Linked DNA regions of Medicago truncatula. The protein of the gene in region 3 interacts with the protein of the main gene of each other region in a pairwise test. Links are inferred from orthologs where the notes say so. Each region holds a gene or a part of one and is shown on either strand. Other genes may lie near its edges.

Region 1 (7,349 bases), on a different chromosome or scaffold from region 3:
GCGATCGTTCTGTTAAGATATCCTTCATTCTGAACGAATTGATATAGATACAACATATGAGTTTTTCTTCTCAGCTCTTCCATTTTTCTTCATAGGGCAAATATAGATCACATGGCTCCTGGGCTTGTTTAGTTTTTTGCTCCTCTCGAAAGTTGGTGCCAGATTCGAAGAGTTCAGCAAGGTCGAAGAGCAAACTTGCAACTAACTGACCTCTCAGGAAACCGCTGTAAGATACAAGGTATGGTAATGTTACTTAAGGAATGTCAAGGTCTTTGCAGCTGTTTGCTTAACCCAAACAAGATTAAGCACATAGATTCTTCTTGGTTTGAGTGGAGCATCAATGGCTTTGGCTAGCTAGGGAGAATCCATGATTTTATTCTAACTAATATGCTCAGGCTTAAACTATCAGCTCCCTTACAATGGCCAGTGAGAATGAACTACAAACTCCATTTATAATAATGATTCATACAACAAGCAACAAAATCCTATCATAAAGTTAAAAACAGTGCATCAAACCAGACTAACAGATAAAAGGTGTTACAAAATTTCTCATTAAAATCGAGTCACCCACCCTAACGGAAGCTTCAATTTGCAAATATATATACAGCACTCCAAATTGGCTTCATCGGTAAGGGTTTCAAACACTGCCTTCTGGCAAAGAAGTCAACATTCAAGACCTTTTATTTCAAAATCAAGACGTTTCATCCTGAACATAGAAATCAAATCTAACATCAACAGAACCTGAAATATCTCCGGTGTCCTTATACTCAATATTTGTTATTGTCCCAGTTTCATCCACCACTTGATATTCTGGTTTAACCCGCCGTACGGGCACTGTAACAGAGTAAATGGTTCCAATATCTGTATCTGCAGAGACACTCAACTGAACTTTATCTTGTGATTCTATTTCCACAAAATCTGATAGAGCACGCACAATGTTGCTAACTATTTTTTGCTTTGCCTCATCACTTACTTCACATCGATCAGAGAACAAAATCATCTTCAAACGTTGCTTGGCAATCCTAGCAACAGAGCTTTTCTTAGACACTGCTGATGGGAAAACTATCTTCCAAGCCAAATTTAAACGCTCAAAGAAACTCATATTAACAGCATCAAGGAGAAAGTTCTCGGCTTCTTGGCTACCTGACTTTGATGAAAAATTAGAACCTCCAAGGACTGCAAAAACAGGCTTGTGATAGCCACGCATATTGCTTCGTACAGTTGTCATGGTGGAACGTTTTGGGGTGAATCCAGATATGCAGGACCCTCCATTTAAGAAACAATGAAAATCGACCTGTTAGACAGAAAAATTAAGAGATTAACAAGGCATTTTCAACATTTTGTAAATCTTGTAAGGATTTTAAGTAAACTTTCGCATCTATAAAAAATGTAACATTTAAGAAGTCCAGCCACAAGCATCTAAATTAAATATCTCAACGATAAATATGATAAAAGATCATTTTATACAACCTTTTCCACTATACTGAATATCAAAAAGGAAAACAGCTGTATCACATCCTCTTTTAGCAACTGGTCAGCACAAAATGGAAAAATGCTACACATATATTTTCTCCAATTTCTCTAAGGCAAAAACTTTATAACAATAGATAACACATATTTCCAATCAAATGGAATATAGTGGAAAAACAATTATGCACTCCACTGATACTTTGGTCTAGAGGGACACGAAATAGAGTTGCAAATCACTCTCCCCCCATAAAATATGACATGTTTGACTATTTCGCACAAATCAACAAAATGTATAAATTAAAGACAAAGAATAGTACTTATATTGTATTATCCTTATCATGTATAGGTGTATTTATCATCGCCGTTGATGCAAAGTAGAAGGTATTGAATTGGGAGTGGTATATTTAATTAATGTGACCTTCAAAATTGAAAGCGTCAATTATTTTAGGACAACCTTTGAAACTAACTTATTCTGGGACAAATTTCTTTTGCAAATAGGCCAATTATTATTGGACATAGTGAGTAATGAATTGTGGTAAATCAACAATCCTTATAAACTGTAGACAATAACATAACAGCTCATTAAAACTATGAGACCTCATTCCCCTTCATTTTATTACTCAAACATGTGATATAATTTTCAAGGACTTCTGTCATCCGAAAATACATCTATAACAAAAAGCACCACGGTTTCAGTACATGTTTGAATTGATAGTGAGTTTAACAGAATAACAATCCGCTACCAAAATTTTAACAAAAACTACACTTTGAAGTTTCAACAAAAATCACAGTCCCACGATAATTTCTCCAAACTCGCCATAAATATAAGCTTAAAATATGGTTTAATGAGCAACATTTATCCAAAATTTCAATTAATGTAATCACAATTTAAAACATAATGAAGCACAAATACTCCTTGGATTAGGATGTCCCGGTGTCAGATACATATTGAATATATTGAATCTGACACCGACGCATATAATTATAATTAACTTAAATTATGTCATTTTCTCAAATTATTATCGGTGTTGACATTCTGGTGTCTGGTGTCTAAGTTGTTGCTTCATAGAATATCATGCTAATTGCCAAACCAAACTAAATACATACATAAATTCCAACATTTCTGAACTAGAAATTAAAGTAAAAGAGTCGAATTTTCTTCTTCAACACCACTATTAAAACAACACAAACATTAATTTTCATTTTTTCTATTACACATTCTTAATAATTAACACTACACAGTAAAATCTAAAACAGCGCCATCAATTTGAAAGTAAAAATATAAGCTCGAATTAAAAATTAAAATTGAAACCCTAATTAGAGAAAAAGAAAAGGAACGATACCTTTGGAGGAATAAAAGAAGTGGTTGGAAGAAGAGGGTGTGAGCGATGGAGTGGAAGAGTTGCAGTGACTCTAATGTCGCCGGAAATCGCCATTGTTGATAGCTTCGGATTTCCCAACGGATTTTCAGTGCTTCTGTTCACTGTTGTTGCAAGTAGTGTACCCTATTTGCCCCTCAATCACCACTTCAGTACGTCGTCGTTTTACCGTTTTCCAAAAGAGTTGGGCACTGTCCTCTCAAAAAAAATAAAAATAAAAAGTAAAGATTAAATAATGGGATAATACTTAATAGTCATTTATGTCCCCTCAACAAGTAATTGCAATAGTTCATCAATGTTTCAAAATTTAAAATAATTCTTAATTGTGCACGCAACACACTTTTAGTTGAAATAGTCTTGACGCTAAAATAATATATCAATATTCAAAATAACTCTTTTCATATAAATACTAAAAATGACAATGAGTGAGTACTTATAAAGACCGATATGATAATAAGTAAGTGTATTGAAGAATTAATATAACAATATTAATGAAACATTTTAACATTAGGGACTATTATCCCATTATAGAATACCGTGAATTCTAGAATGGATGACTCACCTAAGTCTCTCACATGTGCACTACGTCCTTCCTAACATCTATTAGTTCCTAATAACACATGGTAAACACAAAATTGCCCCCAGCATAGTTAATTACCATTGGTATATCTAGCAACAGTTAACTACCGCTGCGTTCGTTACATATTCAAGTCAGGACCCAGCTTCCAGCCACCCTTTCAATACTCTCTCTCTCTAAAAATTTCAATTTTCACTCTCTCTCTTTAAAAAAACTCTACCAAATCATCCAAATTTTTGCCACTAAATCACAATTAAGTAATCATTTAGGCTATTATCATAAATTTTAGTTGGTATATATGTTTATAATTTTAGTTGTAGTTTAATTTTTAAATTTTGATTTATTTTTTTAATAGCGTTATGTTATAGATCTGAAATGCTATTAACAAATATTATGAATATTTGTTATAATCGAGTTATATTGCTTAAATTTATATTTTTTTTTTCAAGTTTTATAAAAAAAATTGGGTTTTTTAGGGTTTGTGTATAATTTGCACTCCAAATGTTTGATGAAATGTTTGAATGAATTTTTCATTGATTGTTTAATTTTTTTATTGTATAGGTATGTTTGAAACAATGGCCGATTTTTTCAGTGTTTGCATACGCTTCAACGGTGGAAATCCTTAGATGTTCAAGGTTCGGTACATTAATGTCACGTTAAAAGGTCTCAAGGATCAACTAGATGAAATCAACCAAAGACTCAACCCCGGAGACACGAGAAGGGTGAAATACATTTGGTATGAACGTTTAACGTTGGACGACGGGAGAATAACGTTCATTCTGCTAGAGTTAAAGAACGGCGACGACGTGAGGAGTATGTTCTCGATTTTTTGGCAGCACAACATGGTTCCGATGATCGATATGTTTGTCACGTTGCAGAGATCAACTGAAGATATTCTCAACAGTTTGATTCCGCCAGAAGATCGTGATTAGGTAGGGAATGCACCTTCCAACTACAACAATTGTCTTACTTGTGAAATTGGATAAGGTCAACCTGTTAAACAACAGCTCTCAAGCATTCACCCGAAAGTTTTATTGTGCCTTTCAAAAGATTAAGTTCTTGTTAGTTTGTTGAAGATGTTGGTATTGGAGTGTCAAAATATTAAGAGACCATGTATTATGCAGAATCAGCTATATAAGTTATGATATTGAATTCCTTCATATAAGATGAGTGTCACAGAATGCACCTCATTCTCTATGTGATTACTCGTCTTATATGAGGGAAATCGATGTGATAACATATGTAGCTGATTCTGCGTGATACATGTTGTGTTCTCTTAATCTTTTGACACTTCAATACCAACATCTTCAACAAACTAACAAGAATTTAATCTTTTGAATGAGACAATAAAACTTCCAGGTGAATGCTTGAGAGCTGTTGTTTAGCAGGTTTGAATTTGTCCAATTTCAGAGGTAAGACAGTTGTTGCACCACATATCTCTACCCGGATGTAATGTAATGATAGGACATATTTAGGAACTTTATGTAATGTAATGTAATGTAACTTTTATTCGAATTTATTTAATATGCAACTTTATTCGAATTTATTTAATACGCAATTTTTATTCGAATTCACGTTGTGTTTAATTAGTCTTTTTTTGAATTTATTTATTTTTTAATACACAATTTTTATTCGGATTTATTTATTCCATATACAATCATAAAATAAATGCAAAAATAAAGGAACAAAAGTAATAGGTATAAAATCTCATTTTATTAATATTATGATACATTCATGATGGGGTAAAACTAAATCTGAGTTAAAAAAAACCACCAGAAAACGATATAAAAAGAATCTTAGAGAACACCTCAAATTGAACCTAGAACTTCCGGATACTCTTCTCCAAGATACTCATACAAGACAACATCAAGAAGACCCATCAATTGTTCCTCATGGCACTGCTACATGACAACATCAATTCTCGAATTGTGCCTCACCTCTGCACTCTTATTGTTTAACCTCCACTTGGGTTAAAACAAAAAAAAAAATCACAAACCATAAACCCTAAATCCTGGGGTAAAACCAATTCAAAGAAACCTCTTGAAATTTTCAAATTTTCAAAGATGCCTCTTTCAATGAAAGGCCAAGGATGAAAAAAACAACATTGTTGTTGTTAGAGCTGTCAAAACGGGCCGGGCCGTGTGGGCCGGCCCGTTTAGCCCGATTAATTATAGGGCTTGGGTCTTAAATATTGAGCCCGAATTTTAATATGGTTTTTTAGCCCGGCCCTAAAAAGCCCGCTACCCGTTAGGGCTAGCCCGAACGGGCCGAGGGTAGCCCGCTAGCCCGCATAACAAATAAAAACCTATAAATGTTATATATTTTGCAAATAATTCTTTACTTAGTTGATTATCAAAGTAATAAATAAAAGTGAAAATTCAATGAATTAACACAAATATACATGTAATATAAAATTATATTTACCTGTTTCGTTATTTATAATTTTAAAGATCGAAAATATAAATATCTATAACCATAACGTATCTAATTTATTTAAAATTGTTTTCCTCGCCGTTTTAGTTTACGACGTTTGTACAAAAATGTTTACAATTTATTTTTGTTCTAGGAATTATTTAAACATATTAAAAATATTATTTATAAAAAAAAATTATATGAGTATTTTATAGTAATTTTTTTATAAAAAAAATAAATAAAATAAAATTAATACGGGCCTGCCCGTGTAGGGCCGGACTTGGGTAGTATATTTCAAGCCCGTTTTTTCAACCGGGCTTTTTGGCCCGGTCCGATAAAGCCCGAAGCCCATTAGGGCCGGGTCGCCCGTTTTGACAGCTCTAGTTGTTGTAGAAGGAAGAGGAGGAAGGAGAGTGAGGAGGAGAGAATGTGAGATGATGGTATGAGGAAATGGTGAAGGTTGGGAGAGTATTAATAGGGGGTTTAATTAAAAAAATGTTGAAAGAAGAGGTTGAATGATAGAAAAAAAAAGGTTGAATGTAAGTTGTTGCATTCCCGGAACAAACACAACCGTAGTTAACTACCGCTAATGTATTTTCGAATTTTCCATGTGTTATTAATATTTTTTATGTCAGAAAAGCAATTTTCAAGACAAATAAGTCCACGTGATTGTATTACATATTTCAATCTCTCCTATTTGCATCCACTCCTTTGTCAAAAAAAATTACTAATTGACACACAAAAAATGAACAAGGACACATAAATAATATTGAAGGTTAAGATATATTTTTCATTTAACTTAATTTTTTTTTAAAATTTCTATCTTTTAAAAAAAAGTTAAATATTTTATGTCTAGTAGCAACAAACTCGTGCTAATCACGGGTCCATGCTCTATACAAGTTAGACGTCGAAACGCGAGTTATGCGTCAAAGCGCATTTACAATGTTATCTGCATTGAAAAATAAGAAAATAATAAAAAATTTAGGGGAAGAAAATAGTAACAATAAAGTTGGGTAGAGGGTTCAATTAAATCTTCCACTTATTACCGCTTATTTTGATTTGCAATGTTATGCGTGCACATAGTCTCTGTTTCAACGATTTTAGGCAAAGAAGAACTACATATACTATTAATCAATAATTACTCGAAACAATAAGTTGTGTTGTGCAATATCTTTACAAATCAACAATTCAATGATTCCCAAGACAGATTTACATAAATAACTTTCAAATCTATGATTTCAATTAAACAAAAATACTACACAAGCAACGCTATTTCACGGTAGAACAATGACATATGAGAATAAGACAAAGGCTATGGTAGGAGACCTCTTTAGATCTCCTACCGTAGGAGACATGATTTTTTATTTTTTTTTATTTTTTTTTTGTAAAATAGATGGCAACCATTTTTGAAGATCATAGTATTATCATATACCCTTAATACTAAATTTTTTTAGACCCATTATCCTTCTCTCTCCCCGTCCATTAATTTACAATGAGAAAAGCAACAAGAG
Region 2 (8,059 bases), on a different chromosome or scaffold from region 3:
GATCATCTTCACTAAATAAGTACACCACATTATTCCTAGACTTCATGGAAATTCCCAATGTTCTTGAATTAGAAACAAAAACTAGGGATTACAACAATTTTACACCTGTTTAATTAATGATTCCTTTTTCTTTGTAGTTGAAATGAGAGGTGGAGTTTACAGGCTTATAGCCTAATCTTTTCCTGGTAAAATACTACATTTGTCCCTAAATACATAAATATTAGACCCTGTTGACTAAATCATGAAGACTAAGAAAGTTGAAAGTAGTATTAAATTAAATTTATTAACAATTGGTATAGTTTTTCCAAGTTTACCCTTTATGAGAGAGGGTGAATTTATCTTTCCCATGACAGTATTTATTGTTTATTAGTTGGTTCTAAAAAAGGTGGAAAATTAATAAGAAGTATTATGCTGATAAAGAAATAATTAATACACTTCAAAATTTGAAGGGGACCCATAAAAAGGGACATGATAATTTCTCAAGAGGAGCCTATGTTTAGGGTCTGAGGTAATATATACTAAGCAAACCAGTCAGTGAATATACACTTAAAAAAAGTTTCACACCTGAGATAAGAGTGTCATTTTTGCAAGAGATGGTTTACTTCTTAGAAGACACTGGGCACGAGCAAGAGCTTCGAAACCTTGAGATACTTTGTTCTTCTCAAAGCCAATTTTCGCAACTGTACACTTCAATAAGACACCTATGATAAGAATAGGGTATATAAACAAGACTGTTTTAAATTCAGATAGTAATTTTCCAACCTCTGTCCATATGTCTTACCTCAGCTAGTGCCATAGAAAGAACTAAATCATCTGCATATGGCTTCGCATCTTGATGCTGAAGACTCGTTCTTCCAATGTCCAGCACAAGCTTTGATTCTCCAATCTGAACAGAAGGAATAGAGAAGTAGAAGTCAAATATTTCCAGAAAACAGGGAGAAATTAATACACGGTCATCGGGAAGAAAAAAAATTTAAAAAGACCAAGTATGTGCCAAGTGTACCTCTTGAAGAAGGCATAGAGCACCGGGCAACCAAGACCAAGGAATACGAAGGGAAGGTTTAGGGGGAATCTTTTCCTTCAGGTTACCAGCATACTCTGGCTCAAAAAGGAGCTTATCCCTAACATCCATCAGAAGATCCTGCAAAGTAATATTAGATGAGAGCAACAAACAACAACAACAACTCAGTTACTTTATCTGCGTCTCTAAAACCAATTTTAGCAAAACATAATTAGTTAGTGGTGACATCTATACCTCGCGAGATGCAACAACGCCCATTGTGTAACCTTCGTCAATTTCTGCATTTTTTAAACTCATAACTGCCTTAACAATTTCATCTTTCTCAGCTCGATCAGGAACGCCAATAAGCTGCAAAATGAACCAAGTGGTCTAGAACAAATCTCAAAACAATAATAAAACACTCATCATAACTAATGAATCGTCTCAAACACCAACTCCTTCATAACATGGAAAACAAAAATGCAAAGGGTGGATATGTTCAAACTTAGTTGATGATATAAAACATATGGAGTTATCCAATCATATTCAACGAGCCAAAATTGCAGAATAAAACTACCCCTAAATCTATGTTTATAGCTTGTAACTTTCTTTGGTCTCTCCTTTACCTCTAATTATAAGACTATGCACGCTCTCCTCATCTACTTCTAATCTACAGGTCTTCGCCGAACACATCTCCATTTTTTCTCTAATAATTTCATTTCTAATCCTATCTTGTCTAATATATCCATTTCTTCCTCCATTGTAACATTCTCATAATCTCATCACTGCAGCAATAAGTTTACTTGTTAGGTATTTTACCATCCAACATCCAATTTCATAAAACATCATCCGTCTTATTATAAATGAATACCAAAGATTTCTTTAAGCTTAGAGTTATTTCTCTATCACATGTCAGTTATCACCTATGTAGCACCAACACTTCAGATCAAAAACATGCACAAATATCTAACATGTGTCAGTGCCTGCGCTGACAATCTCATCATTACAACAATAAGTTTAGTTTCTTGTTAGTTATTTTACCTTCCAACATTCAATTCCATGCAACATCCTTTATCTTATGATAAAATAAAGAGAATTAACATCAAGTTTTATTTTAAAGCTTGAGTCATTTCTCTTTAACATATCAAATATCACTTATGTAGCACCAACACTTCAAATCAAAAACATGTACCGGTATCCAACATGTGTCAGTGTCCAACACTAACACGGGTGTTTAAATACAATCACTTCTATTTTCTTAAACTATTACCAGCGCCTACATGTCTGTGTCTATATATGTGTCATTTCTAACATTTCAAATTGAAGACGTGTATGAGTATCTAACACGTGTCAATGTCTGACATTGACGCATGTGTTTAGATACAATCACTCCTATTTCCTTAAATTATTATTACTAGTGCCGTGTGTCTGTGTCATGTCTAGGGTCTGTGTCAGTGTTTCACCGGGGCGGTCATCACTCCCAATCATTCCTCCAATTCATCAAACTCACTAAGATCCTATCATTAACATCTAATTACTTCGCAAAAATGGCGATGATAATTACAATGACGAATGAATAATCAAACAAATTAAACACACAAACACGCAATTAAACTAACAAACACCAATTTGCAATCACCTGATAACACGAAACCGGAATTTCGACTGTCGATTTCAACACTTGATTTTCAACAATGCGATTATTATTACTATCACCAAATTTCAACTTCCTCCGTTCAAGAACAACATCACTTTTCCCAGCGTGAGAACAAACACAAAACGCAGAACCACAAAATCTAGAACCAATTTCTCCATGTGAACCTGGAAAAGGAGCTTTCGTGATGCGAGCAACGCTATACAGAGAAGGACCGATCACTGCAGCATTAGCCAGTGCCATGAGCGAACTCTCATTCCCCTTTCTTCAAAACCCTAATTGTTCAGTGAAATTTCAACATTGTTGAATTGGAAATTCGTAACACATTGGTTTGAGTTTAGAAATTGTGAAAAGTGATTTGGAATTTTTGTTATGAAGAAGAAAAGAAGAAGTGAAGAATTGGGGGAGAGAAGTGTGTGTGAAAAACGTTGGGTGAAAAAGAGGGAGATTACGACAAATTAAAACAAGTAGTAATAATTATTGTGGATTTTTTTTTTCTCTTTCGTCTTAATTAAGAGTTAAGATCCTCTCCATTTATTATTCTCTCGATTTCATCCATTCGAAAAGATATAGATAAAAAAAAATTCAAAAAATTAAAAAGTAATTAATGATGGTGGGATCCACTTAAAAGTAGGACCCTGTGTCTATCTCTCTCCAAATTGCATACTCCATTTATTATACCAAATGGAGAGGATTGTCGAATTAAATTAACTTAATACATTGGCACGGGATATCTAAGATCAGTCTCGCTTAAGTTGTGATTTTGTGTTATTATAGATCACTGCTACAACTAGACTAGTGTTATAAGCGGCCCAAAGATAATCGTGCTACTACAAATCATCGTTGTAGTTGGACCATGGCTATAAGGGGTCAAAGAGGATAATGTTACACAATGGTTGAATTAAATGACCATGTAGATTGTGTAATAATGCATTAGCACACACGATATATTATATCTATTGCACTTAAGTGATGATTTTGTGTTACTATGGATCACTATTATAACTGGATCAATGTTATAAGTAACCCAAAGATGATCGCGCTACTACAAACCACCGCTATAATTAGACCATGGATACAAGGGGCCCAAAGTGGATTGCGTTAGACAATGGTCGAATTAAATTAGTCTGTAGATTATGTAATAATGTGTTAGCACACGATATCTCACATCTATCGCACTCAATTAATGATTTTGTGTTATTATCATTGTTATAAATGGGATTTTTATCTTTTCACTTCAAGAATTGTTCCCTCACACCCCAAAAATACCGAAATACCTTCAACGACAGTTAACTGTCGCTCTCTACTAAAATGCCTTTCAACGGCAATTAAATTCGACTAATTCATTGAGCAAACGACATTTAGCTGCCGTTTAGGGTATTTTAGTATTTTCAAGGTGCGAAGGAGCAAAATTTTATGTAAGATGACTAGAATCCTTGTAATTGGAGCAATGATATAAGCGGCCCAAAATAATCACATTTTATAAAGGTTGGATTGGATAAGCTTATACATTGTATAATAATGCATTGGCACACTATAAATGCATATGATCTGCAGAAAAATGAAGGACATGATAGCTCGATTTGTGCAGTGTTTGATTGTTAAACTATTTCAAGGACAAGACAAATTGGGGTCAAGGGTAATGACATGTCATCTTACGTTATTTTCAACATATTTTTCAGTCATTTTATTTAGGTTTTGATCCAATTTAGAGGATATTTATAACAATTGTCTATGGTTTTTGGAACTTTTTGTAACGTTTTCATTTTGAGTCAAGCAATTCTAGTTTCCCCAAAACCAAACAGTTCTTAGGTTTCATGATGTAATTCAATGCAAAATAATGCAAATTGACAAATCAAATCATCTCAAGAGAATTTGGGAAGACAATGGATGATGATTCAAAAAGCATCTGAAGACATTACAAAGAGAATAAATTCTACTTCGAGTCTCAGGACAAGTTACAAGGAAGAAAACACTCAGAAAGACTAAAAAAAACCCAAAAACACGCTGTTGAGTGCTGATGTGACACCCAGGGTGTGCGAAAACTGCACTAGCGTGTGAGGTGCGCCTCTAGGTGAAAAACAACAAAAAAGACACAAGTAAAATACGTTTATGCCCCCAGCGGCAGTTAACAGCCGTTCAAGAATACGCCGGCAATTAACAACCGCTGGAGCCAGCGGCAGTTAACTGCCGCTCTCACTAGTTAGCAGAATCGGTGCAGCCTGCACTGGTTTTTTCCAGGAAATTTGTCTTGTTTTACCTATAATTTCGAACGACAATTCAGGAGGAAATCAAACCGAAACAACAACATCAAGCAATCACAAACATCAATATTTCATAGTTTATCAATTATTCGGTAACATTACACAAAACCGATAATGCGTTAACGTTTCACAATTGTTTGAAATCCATCAAATTTTTCACATTGTGCAACACATTACACGTAATGTACATTAATTACTAATAAATGCGAAACTCAAATATATATATATATATATATATATATATATATATATATATATATATATATATATATATATAGTTAAAGGTTATTACATATCACCCAAAAAATTAATCATTACATTATATATCCAAAAAATACGTCGGCACGTATCGACTAAAAAACAGATTAACACCGACCAAAAAGTGTCATATTTCATCTAACAAAAGCAAATAATCTAAATGTTCCAGAACATCTTCAAATTCTTCATTTTCTTTAACTGGAGTGTCATCAAACATAATTGGATTGTCTTCATTTGTTGGTTCTTTTGGTGGAATCGGTCTCTCTTTGTCCTCAATCTCCATGAGTGCTCGGAAACGATCGTGTTGATCCAAGAATTCATAATCCCATGTTTTTGCCTCATCGCTCCTATGATTTCTCCACTCCGTGGATGATGGAGGTAGTGGACAACCAACGAAAGAAGGACAAAATGATTTGGGATTAAACCAAGGCAAATCATGTTTCCACACATCGGGTCGAAAATAAATGAGCCGTGTCCACTTCGTTGTCACGAAGTTTCCACACATCGGAATTGACGCTTGAAGCCTCAACTTTAACGGAAGCTTCGACCTTAGCGAGAGCTTCAACCTTAATGGAATCGACAACTCTAGGTTTTCGATCACCCGCATTCTCAACCTTATCTATAAATAAACAACATACAATTACTAAACTAATTAATAAACATGTATCTAATATCATATAATAACATAAACAAAAAAAAAACAAAAGGAAAAAAAATTGAAATTTTTTTTTTGGGCAGTAGCACTGCCATTTGACAATTTTGAAAAAATTTCTAAGTTACCAGCGGCAGTTAACAGCCGCTCAAACCCAACGGTGGTTAACTGCCGCTCAAGCTTGTGACAGTACAAAACAAAATAACCAGAAAAATCAATCAAATGTAATGGATTTTAACGTTGTAATACCTGTTATTTGATGCATATTGTGTGTAGAAACGTCATAGCAATCGATCAGCAATGATTTGGAAGCAAGATTTTGACAAAAAAAATTTGATAAGGGGATTTTTTTTTTTGGTATGGTATTGGTGGTGTAAGGTGATGAATGAATAGGAGAGGTAGGGGTTTTCTGGTTTTTGGGGGAAAAACCAACGGCAGTTAACGACTGCTGGGGGCATAAATGTATTTTACTTGTGTCTTTATGAACTTTTCTATGTCAAGAAAACACTTTTCTTTTCTCTTGCAAATTTGAGGAAAAGGCCTAGTTTTTTTAGCCCAAACCCACTTGAAAACCAGCCTAAAAATACAACTTTTTCAAAACATGAAAAATGTATTTAAGACTCTTACGAATATGAGTGTAAAAATGCATGGTCATGCTTAACTAAGTTAATACGAGATATTGAACTTCCTTAAAAAAAATGAGATATTGAATTTATTCTTTACTCAATATATTTCAAAACCAAGAAATATAAATATTGAACTATACATAGATTACACAATCTATATGTTGTTTTTTGTTATAGGCATAAAGGGAAAAGAAGTAATTATATCCATTATAGTTATCACATAAAAGTGTTGTCAGGTCACATGACATTCTTGTCACTTGGATGACACTTATGTGTCGATAATTCCTATTTATTGTATATAATATTAACTTAAATATGTATTATTTAATATGATTACAAATGTTACGAGAACATACAAGGTCTAGCACAAAATACAAATAGATGAGAAAAAAAATTATAAATAAATAAGTCAGCCTTTTTTTTTTTGTCAAAGAGGCTTATTAATAAATTAATAACAAAGATATAATGTTGAAATTGTTTGAAAACACACACACACATATATATATATATAAATGTGTGTGTTATAAAATGGTTTTAAATAAAATTAATGATTTTATTTTGAAATTGTTTCAAAAAGAATGTATTTTGGATTCAAATAAAATTAAAGATATGATTTTGAATTTTTTTTAAAAGAAATATATTTCAAATTTAAATAAAATAAAATACATGATTTTGAAATTGTTTTAAAAAATATATATTTTATTTAAAATATTGAAAAGGTGCACATAAGCGAATTTTTTCAAAAAGTATATGTTTTGGATTCAAATAAAATCAAAGATATTATTTAAAAATTGTTTTAAGAGAAATATATTTTAGATTTAAATAAAATGAAATATACGATTTTAAAATTATTTAAATATGATCTTGAAATTGTTTCAAGAGAAATATATTTTGGATTTAAATAAAATGAAATATACGGTTTTAAAATTATTTAAATATGATCTTGAAATTGTTTCAAGAGAATTATATTTTGGATTTAAATAAAATCAAATATACGGTTTTAAATTATATAAAAATATCTAAGAGATGCACATGAGTGAGTCTATAAATAGAATTCGCAGGGTGTTTAATATCATACCACTTTACAAAAACCATAACTAAAATTATAATCTCTTATATTGTCACACGAAATCCACACAATGGCTCCAACAAATCCCATCAAAAAATTTCTTAAGAAATTTTCATGTCTAGGCAAGAAAACACAAGTTAACAATGATCGTCAATGCCTTGATTCAGATATTTCCCAAGGCTACATTGCTGTGTATGTTGGAGAAAACAGAATCAAATATGTTATTCCAATTTCTTTTCTACATCAACCAGTGTTTCAAAACCTTCTCCGTCAAGCTGAAGAAGAGTTTGGTTTTGATCATGATCGTAAGGGTCTCACTCTTCCTTGCCGCCAAGATGTTTTTGAGTCCATTGTTTCTAGTTTGGATAGATGAAAAATGTTGTAGCTGCTTCGTAACTTTATTTTTTTCTCTCTCTATATATTAATATTCAAATAGATGCAACCTTAAAATGTGTGAGGTTAGTATTTTAGAATAAATTTCCCAAAGAATGAATCTTTGTGGTTTTAGATTGTAATCTAATTTCTATCAAAGATTA
Region 3 (7,828 bases):
ACTTACAGATTTTAGAACAGATATGGCCTTAATAGCTAGCAAAACAGCATCATTTGCAGTCTTCATAGCCTCATCTAGAGTCAACAAGTCTTTTTTGAGAAGTGCGTCGATATCAATTTCTGTCTCATAAACAACAAAAGTGAGCAAAATTTCAAACTTTCTGTAGGCATTTTGATGATCCTATTAAAAATAAATTATATTTTTCTTTCTTCTCCTATTCAACTTTTATCAGTTTAATTCACAGGAACTTTAAACCACTTACAGCATCCACCCTTAATCCCAATGATAGAAATCCATCTAATTACTATATCTTTCCAATTATTGTCACCCTATGCATGTTAAACTTGAGAAACTCTTAAGAATGCCTTTTTTTTTTGCATTACAACAGCGCGGTTGGTTGAAGTAAATGTGCTGATAATTTATTTATTTTTAAGAATGCAGGAAATAAGTTATATTTTTTTTTTAAAAAAAATTATTGATGTTTGTGCCCAAGTTTGAGTATTTTCAGGCAATATGGATCGGAGTTCTTTTGTATGTGTGGCATGCAGGAAATATAATTCCAAAAGCATTCCTAAAATATGTACAAAAAGTTGATTTTTATCTAATAATTGGTTGCTTCATACTTGTAGGAAGGTCTTCAAAATCAGTCTCATGTGCCCAATTCTCATACTTTCTATGATTTCAAGCTGGTAAGCAAGGAAAATCTTGCAAAAGTGAAAGTAGCCATGAAATTTACAAGGGTATTTATGTTATATGAAGTAAATAAAAATATATAATTCCCTCTGTTCTTCACTACTACATAAAGTCACTCCATAGTGCAGAATCCAGACCCATGACCATGAGACTAACAAGCCCAACTGACACCTACCAAATATCAGATTGACAAGTATTGATTTTATAACTGATTCGCTTTCACAGAATGTGTTACAACAACAACCAAGCCTTATTCCACTAAATGGGGTCGGTTACATGAATCAAACAACGCCATAGTGTTTTATCATAAACCATATTTTTATCCAACGCATTAATCTCTATCCTTCTTGATAGTTTCTCTTATTGTTTTTCTAGGTCTTCATCTACTTCTAGTGATTTGACTCCCCTCCATTTGATCTACCCTCCTTACTACTGAATTAATAGGCCTTCACATATTGTGTTACCAAACAAAAAAAGACATTGAGCAAACTTGTGACGTATGTCGCAATGGGCGAATCAGCAAGCTTCACCTTCAGACTTAGCACAGCCAAACATGATATGACAGCCTTTAATGAAGTTTTTAATCATCAACACAACTAAATCTTCTTTGAGAAAAAGAAAAAGTTGTAAAAATATGGCACATAGCTCACCAATAAGTAAATTAGTATTCTCCTTAAGTTTCCCCATCAAAGCTTTTACCTGAGAATTCGTGACACAAATAATTATATCATGCGAACAAAAATGCTTGAATTGCAAAACATAATAGTTTAATCAAGGAAACTAAATCAATCCTTAAGTGAAAAATATTAAGATGGTTAATAACATCTAGTAGCATTTTTGCAAGAAATCACAATTGATAAGATGTTGAGCTCACTGAATTATTCATCATATTGCACGGAGATATGTTTCAAAAACTATCATACAGATTGGTTTGAGGTTATGATTTCTGATGCCATTACAGTAACAAAGTAAATCAAACAAAGCGTCATGCATACCTCATCTTTTCGTCTTAACCCTTCAAAGCTAAAAGGCTTCAAAACTATGGCAATTGTGAGTCCATTTGTGGACCTTACAGTTTCAAAAATATCAAAAGCGACAGTGTGGTCTGATCCATATCCTGCACTAGCCACCTAGGAAGAAAAATGGGGGATAACCAAAGGTCATATTTGGACCACTTTCACGAATCATGGCTGGAAAAATACAACCTAAGGCCATACATCCTAATTCATGGCAGTCAGCTTTACCGTATCTAACAATCCAAAAAGTCAAGCCTTAGAATTTCAGTTGAACAAAATAAAATATCTTTTCACGGTGATGAATAACAAATTTAAGTAGTTCAGTTGACTTGTGTACTTCAAACATCAGTTTAACATGATAAAGCAAACTACACTTGAGGTAACTTTATGGATGAAGATCACCAATATTGAAACAAATATTTTATTGCGAGAGTTTTAAGGAAAGGAATGTACAAACAAGGACAATGGTCTTTGAGCACGACTTCATAAATACTGGGGCTTTGACAATTCCTTGGCAGGGTTCTGCAGAGATAACGTCAAATATCAGTACCTTTAAACAACAGAATGTGACCTATGTATGAATATTTGGACTGAATTCTCAGGTTTAAGCTTCATTTTTAGTAGTGAAATGCATGGAAAAATGAAGAAGAATCACAGAAATGAGATGCAAACCTTGTTTAGTAGACCTTTGTTGTAATTGCGGTTCTTGTGAATCTTTCACAATGATATTCCTGGTAAAAAGAAAACATCAACAATTATAATCTAATCTTACTAATTTTTTCTGTAAATTACTTTTTCAAATTACTTTCAATTCATGATCCTAAAGTAGCGATTACATGAAATTGTGTATAAATAATTACCAAAAGCGCAGAGAAGACAGCTGAAATGGAGAATTCAAGCAGAAATCAATAACTGCGTCCTTTCTACCGCCAATTGCAATGACTTCAACCAAATCGGATTTCGCTTCTTCTCCAATATCAATTCCGCAGCTGTAACCGTTGGACGACGGAAGTTTGTCCTCCGTGCACATTGTGATGTGTAGAAACGGTTTTGAATTGCGATTGCGACGAAATCCATAATCGCAGTGACGAAGAAGAGAAAGAGAACATCGACATTGAAATTGATTCAAGGTGAAATTAGAAATGGCTTTGAAGGTTGTGGGTAATGCAGTAAGCTCCATTTAGCGTTGCGTTGCTGTTGTACAAACAATAGAATAGATAAGGCTTCCTTCATTAAGGCTTAGCTATGTTCTCTATTCTTTCTCTTTCTAGTATTCCTACACTATTTTTTCAACCAAAAAGAAAGAAAGAAAAAAACTCTTTTATATGTAAATAGGTGAAATAATAGTGAGTTAACGATGTTGCGATTCAATATTTTGATTGATTGTGTGTGCAAAGTTACTTTGACTGTCAATCCACCACCATTAATCTCTTTGTAAAATATCATCGTTAAAAAATGTGAAAGTTTAAGAGAAGTTTGAGATATCTCATATATAGAAGGATCTGATCCAATGGAAAACATATTAAAGTTTAGTGAGAAATAGTCATTTTAGTTTTCAAATGTGTAACAAGTAATTATAATAGTCCTATTGAAATTTCAAAATATTCCCTAATTGTGAAATTTGTTGTCAAAATAGTCTTTAACGTTATAGTAGTCCTTCGATGTTTACAACAATTCTTTTTTATAATGAATGATATGACAATACGAAAGTACTTTATAATCATTAATATAACAATAGGTAAGTATATTGAGAGACTGAAATGACAATATTAATAGAAGATTTTAACGCAGGGATTATTTGAATTGATAAAATTAATAATCATGGACTATTTTAAAATTTTGACACATTCAAAGACTATTGTGACCACTCGTTACACATTCAAGGACTAAAATAACTATTACCCTTAAAGTTTAACATATTGTTGCCTAAAAAACATATTATTATCTTTTTATCTTTTCAAATTTGTTTTTTCTTTTTTAAAAGATAAAACGAAATACGTTACATCGTTACCACAACCAAACAAGTATATCCTATTAACACACACACACACACACATATAGGACATATCTTGTGAAGAATGGGTTAATTATATGAGAATGATGAGAATGCTTATCAACCATATGATCAAAAATAAATGATCCTACATTAAAATCTTCATATGTGTCTCACCCTATTCTATCCATTCTCATAAACTAATTCATTTGTTCATTCTCCCAATTGCCGTCGACAACAACACTTTCTGTCAATTACTCTTCACCACCATTAATTAACATAGACAACAAGATCCAAATGATTTTAATTGTAAATAATTAACCTGAAATAATGCTTATTTTTCTTCATCTTTTTCATTGTAAATAATTTGGTTCATAGGAAATACAGATCTAGTGAGTTATATTTTCAGGTGAAATTAGATTCGGTAATGAAATGTTAATATTACGGAAATCAGTTGAGAACGATCGATCGTGATGAACATAGAATAAAAAAACACATAAACAGTTGAAATTGGATCTGAAATTGTTTGGGATTTCCGATCACGAACTTGTGCAAGAAGGTGGGAACGATAGGTTTCCAACTACGAACTGATGGTGGAAGGTGGTGACTGTAACGCCCACTTTCGTTTAATCGTTATTTAATTGAGTTTAGGCAATTATATTATAATTATATAATATATGCATGATTTTGATATGTTTTGATGATTTGTGGTGAATTTAGTGATTTGATTGATGATGTGATAAGTTATGAGTTTTGGAGGATTTGATTATGATATGAGAATTATTTTATTGTTAAATAAAATAAAGATTTGAAAATAATATAAAATATTTAGTTGAGGGCTGTTTTGATATTTTAGATAGTTTTGGGGGTGAAAGTGAGATAAGATAAGTAATTAGGAAGAGATATAAATAGGAGAAGACCTAATATTTTAGAAACTCTTTGTACGTGAAAACTTTTGAAAAAGGGAGAAAAGCTTAGAAGGGAGAAGAGCATAGAGGGCTGTGATTTCTTCATAACCAGGTAAGGGTGAGACTAATAACTCAGTATTGTTAATTGAATGTGATTCTGATGATTAGTTAACAAGAATTAGGAGTGATTTGGAGAAAACGAAAACTAGGTCAAAACCTTAGAATCGATGATTAAACGGTGAGAATTGGTTTAATTGATGTAAAAAGTGTTCCTAGACCTTAGATAATGTTTAGGACGAATTTGGAATCAAAAACAAGCTTAGAACCTTGTGAAACGTCGAGTTTTTGTGAATTTAGGAAGTCTGGCCGTAGCGACATTCATCGCTCGCCACAGCGAGCTATGAATCTCGCCTCGCGAACCCTGTTCCTCGCCTCGCGAGTTGTGCAATGCAGCTCGCCATAGCGAGCGACCTTACTCGCCATAGCGAGCTAAGGCAGAGTGCATGTTAGATTTTGTGTTTCGACCTTTTTAGTTGGACCTTGGATGCTTTAGTGTGCCTGAACATACCTAGTTATGATTAGGAATGAATGTAGGGCAAGATTAGACCCAGAACAACCTTAGTTTGGGAGTTGAGTGGTACTCGCCATGGCGAGTAAGTACTCTCGCCTCGCGAGTACAACCAGGATGAACTTGTTTATGTGTTTGTGCGATCTGTGTCGCACTTGTTGATCAAGAGTGGACCCCTAACTGGTAATGAGACCTAGTGATGTTGTTAAATGCAGTCTGTAGAGTAGTCTAAGTCATGATAATATTGATTGAACATGAGCTAATGTAATGTATATTTATGCAAGATATGAAGAGTTGATAATGATACAATTTATGTGCTATTGATATAATGATATCATCTTGTTATGTGACCTGTTTATGCTGCTTCCGTTATTTAACTAAGTGCATAATTATATGATGAAGTTTAGCTCCAAATTATTGGATGCATGTTGATAAGTTGATTACGATGTTTTGTTCATATGTGTCCATGCATAGCATATCATTGAGCTTAGTCCTCACCACGAATATTAGGAGCTTTGTCCTCCGCACGTTTTATAGGAGCTTTGTCCTCCGCACGATTAAAGTATATTAATACTTATGATGACGATTGGTACCACATGCATATAAGGAGTCTAGGAGCATTGTCACATTGTCATGATTAAGATGTCTTGTTGATGATGAATGAATATGTGATTACGTGATAAGTGTTTAGTGATTATGTTACGTTGTTCATAATGAATTGGATATATGATTACGTGATAACTGTTAGCATTTATGCAAAGTTAATAATGGAATGATTATGATGTTAATTATGATTCGAATTACTTTGATTAGCATTATTTTGTTATGAAATCTCACCCCTTCTGCTTGAAAATGTTGCCCTTCGTATGGGTAACTTGCAGGTGATCGTGCTTAGTGTGCAGTTGCTTCTGTGAGTGGCCTTGCCTCACTGTGTCGTCTAGGTCGCTCTGATACGTAACGGGATGGGGTTTATGCATGCTTCATTCTCTTACGTGACTAATATGTTATTTTTATAATGTTATGGATTATGATTATGAACTTTTGATGGGGCCTACGTGCCAAAACGTTTTATGAATTATGATTATGATTTTCCGCTGCAATGTTTAAGATATTGGTTAAATTATTATTTAACTGTTTGGATTATGTTTTATGTGATATCCCGTTGTTTATGATGCTTACTCTGATAAATGTTTTTAAGAATTTTTATGTTGGGAAAACGGGGTGTTACAATTGGTATCAGAGCAGGTCGGTCCGTCCGGTCAATTAGAAGAGTCGTGTCGAGTCTTAGTAATATTTATATTACTATCTTATGTTGTTGTTGCTACTTTTGTAGAATCTCGGAAATGGCTGGAAGAAACGATGCTGCGTTAGCTGCTGCTCTACAAGCTGTTGCCCAAGCCGTGGGACAACAACCTAACGTGAATGCTGGTGCGAACGCGGAAGCTAGGATGTTGGAGACGTTCATGAAGAAGAACCCTCCGACTTTCAAAGGACGTTATGACCCTGATGGAGCCTAGACGTGGCTTAAGGAGATTGAGAGGATTTTCCAGGTTATGCAGTGCACGGAGGATCAGAAAGTGCGATTTGGTACTCATCAGCTGGCCGAGGAAGCTGATGACTGGTGGGTTGCTCTTCTGCCTACCCTTGGGCAGGAGGGAGCTGTTGTGACTTGGGCTGTTTTCAGGAGAGAGTTCCTGAGAAGATACTTTCCGGAAGATGTTCGCGGGAAGAAGGAGATCGAGTTCCTTGAATTGAAGCAAGGAAACATGTCTGTGACAGAGTATGCTGCCAAGTTCGTGGAGCTGTCTAAGTTCTACCCACATTATACTGCTGAGAATGTTGAGTTCTCGAGATGCATCAAGTTCGAGAACGGTTTGAGGCCCGACATTAAGAGGGCGATTGGATACCAACAGCTGAGAGTTTTTCAGGATTTGGTTAATAGCTGCAGGATCTATGAAGAAGATACGAAGGCTCACTGCAAGGTAGTGAACGAGAGGAAGGGCAAGGGACAGCAGAGTCGTCCTAAGCCGTACAGTGCCCCCGCTGATAAAGGGAAACAGAAGATGGTCGATGTTAGGCGGCCTAAGAAGAAGGATGCTGCAGAGATTGTGTGCTTCAGTTGTGGCGAGAAAGGCCACAAGAGCAACGTCTGCCCTGAGGAAATCAAGAAGTGTGTCCGGTGTGGCAAGAAAGGTCATGTTGTAGCTGATTGCAATCGTACAGACATTGTGTGCTTTAATTGCAATGGAGAGGGTCACATTAGTTCACAGTGTACTCAGCCTAAGAGGGCGCCGACTACTGGTAGGGTCTTTGCTTTGACTGGGACTCAGACAGAGAATGAGGATCGTTTGATCAGAGGTACTTGCTATATTAATAATACTCCTTTAGTTGCTATTATTGATACTGGTGCTACGCATTGTTTTATTGCTTTCGATTGTGTTTCTGCTTTGGGTCTTGATTTGTCTGATATGAATGGAGAGATGGTTGTCGAAACTCCAGCTAAGGGTTCGGTGACTACTTCTCTCGTATGTTTGAAATGTCCTTTGTCTATGTTTGGTCGTGATTTCGAAATGGATTTAGTTTGTCTACCTTTGAGCGGTATGGATGTGATTCTAGGTATGAACTGGTTAGAGTACAACCACGTTCTTAT

The links.
Region 1: the proteins of protein ACCUMULATION AND REPLICATION OF CHLOROPLASTS 3 (region 3) and cell division topological specificity factor homolog, chloroplastic interact in binary tests that used the Arabidopsis thaliana proteins (3 or more experiments, as listed by UniProt). The link is inferred for Medicago truncatula from reciprocal best matches to the Arabidopsis thaliana genes ARC3 and MINE1.
Region 2: the proteins of protein ACCUMULATION AND REPLICATION OF CHLOROPLASTS 3 (region 3) and plastid division protein CDP1, chloroplastic interact in binary tests that used the Arabidopsis thaliana proteins (3 or more experiments, as listed by UniProt). The link is inferred for Medicago truncatula from reciprocal best matches to the Arabidopsis thaliana genes ARC3 and PARC6.

Annotation. Positions count from the first base shown.
Region 1 is NC_053046.1:18,841,256-18,848,604, forward strand, and holds cell division topological specificity factor homolog, chloroplastic, read right to left. Parts: upstream 3,040-7,349; 5' UTR 2,907-3,039; coding exon 2,814-2,906; intron 1,295-2,813; coding exon 692-1,294; 3' UTR 428-691; downstream 1-427. UniProt on the Arabidopsis thaliana protein: Acts as a topological specificity factor during plastid division and specify plastid constriction sites (such as the Z-ring) in a MCD1-dependent manner. Especially involved in epidermal plastids division in a FTSZ1-dependent manner.
Region 2 is NC_053047.1:36,577,339-36,585,397, forward strand, and holds the start of plastid division protein CDP1, chloroplastic, read right to left. Parts: upstream 3,103-8,059; 5' UTR 2,898-3,102; coding exon 2,640-2,897; intron 1,370-2,639; coding exon 1,256-1,369; intron 1,142-1,255; coding exon 1,004-1,141; intron 887-1,003; coding exon 782-886; intron 688-781; coding exon 565-687; intron 1-564. Other genes in the region: auxin-induced protein 15A, read left to right, coding at 7,594-7,896. UniProt on the Arabidopsis thaliana protein: Component of the plastid division machinery required for PDV1 localization to constriction sites. Involved in chloroplast division site placement. Required for the proper formation of FtsZ rings at the division site in nongreen plastids (e.g. etioplasts).
Region 3 is NC_053042.1:54,510,812-54,518,639, reverse strand, and holds the start of protein ACCUMULATION AND REPLICATION OF CHLOROPLASTS 3, read right to left. Parts: upstream 3,002-7,828; 5' UTR 2,890-3,001; coding exon 2,570-2,889; intron 2,441-2,569; coding exon 2,382-2,440; intron 2,232-2,381; coding exon 2,167-2,231; intron 1,824-2,166; coding exon 1,689-1,823; intron 1,393-1,688; coding exon 1,344-1,392; intron 120-1,343; coding exon 7-119; intron 1-6. UniProt on the Arabidopsis thaliana protein: Together with MIND1 and MCD1, regulates FtsZ ring positioning in chloroplasts in an ARC6-dependent manner. Z-ring accessory protein involved in the initiation of plastid division and division site placement (might functionally replace bacterial MinC).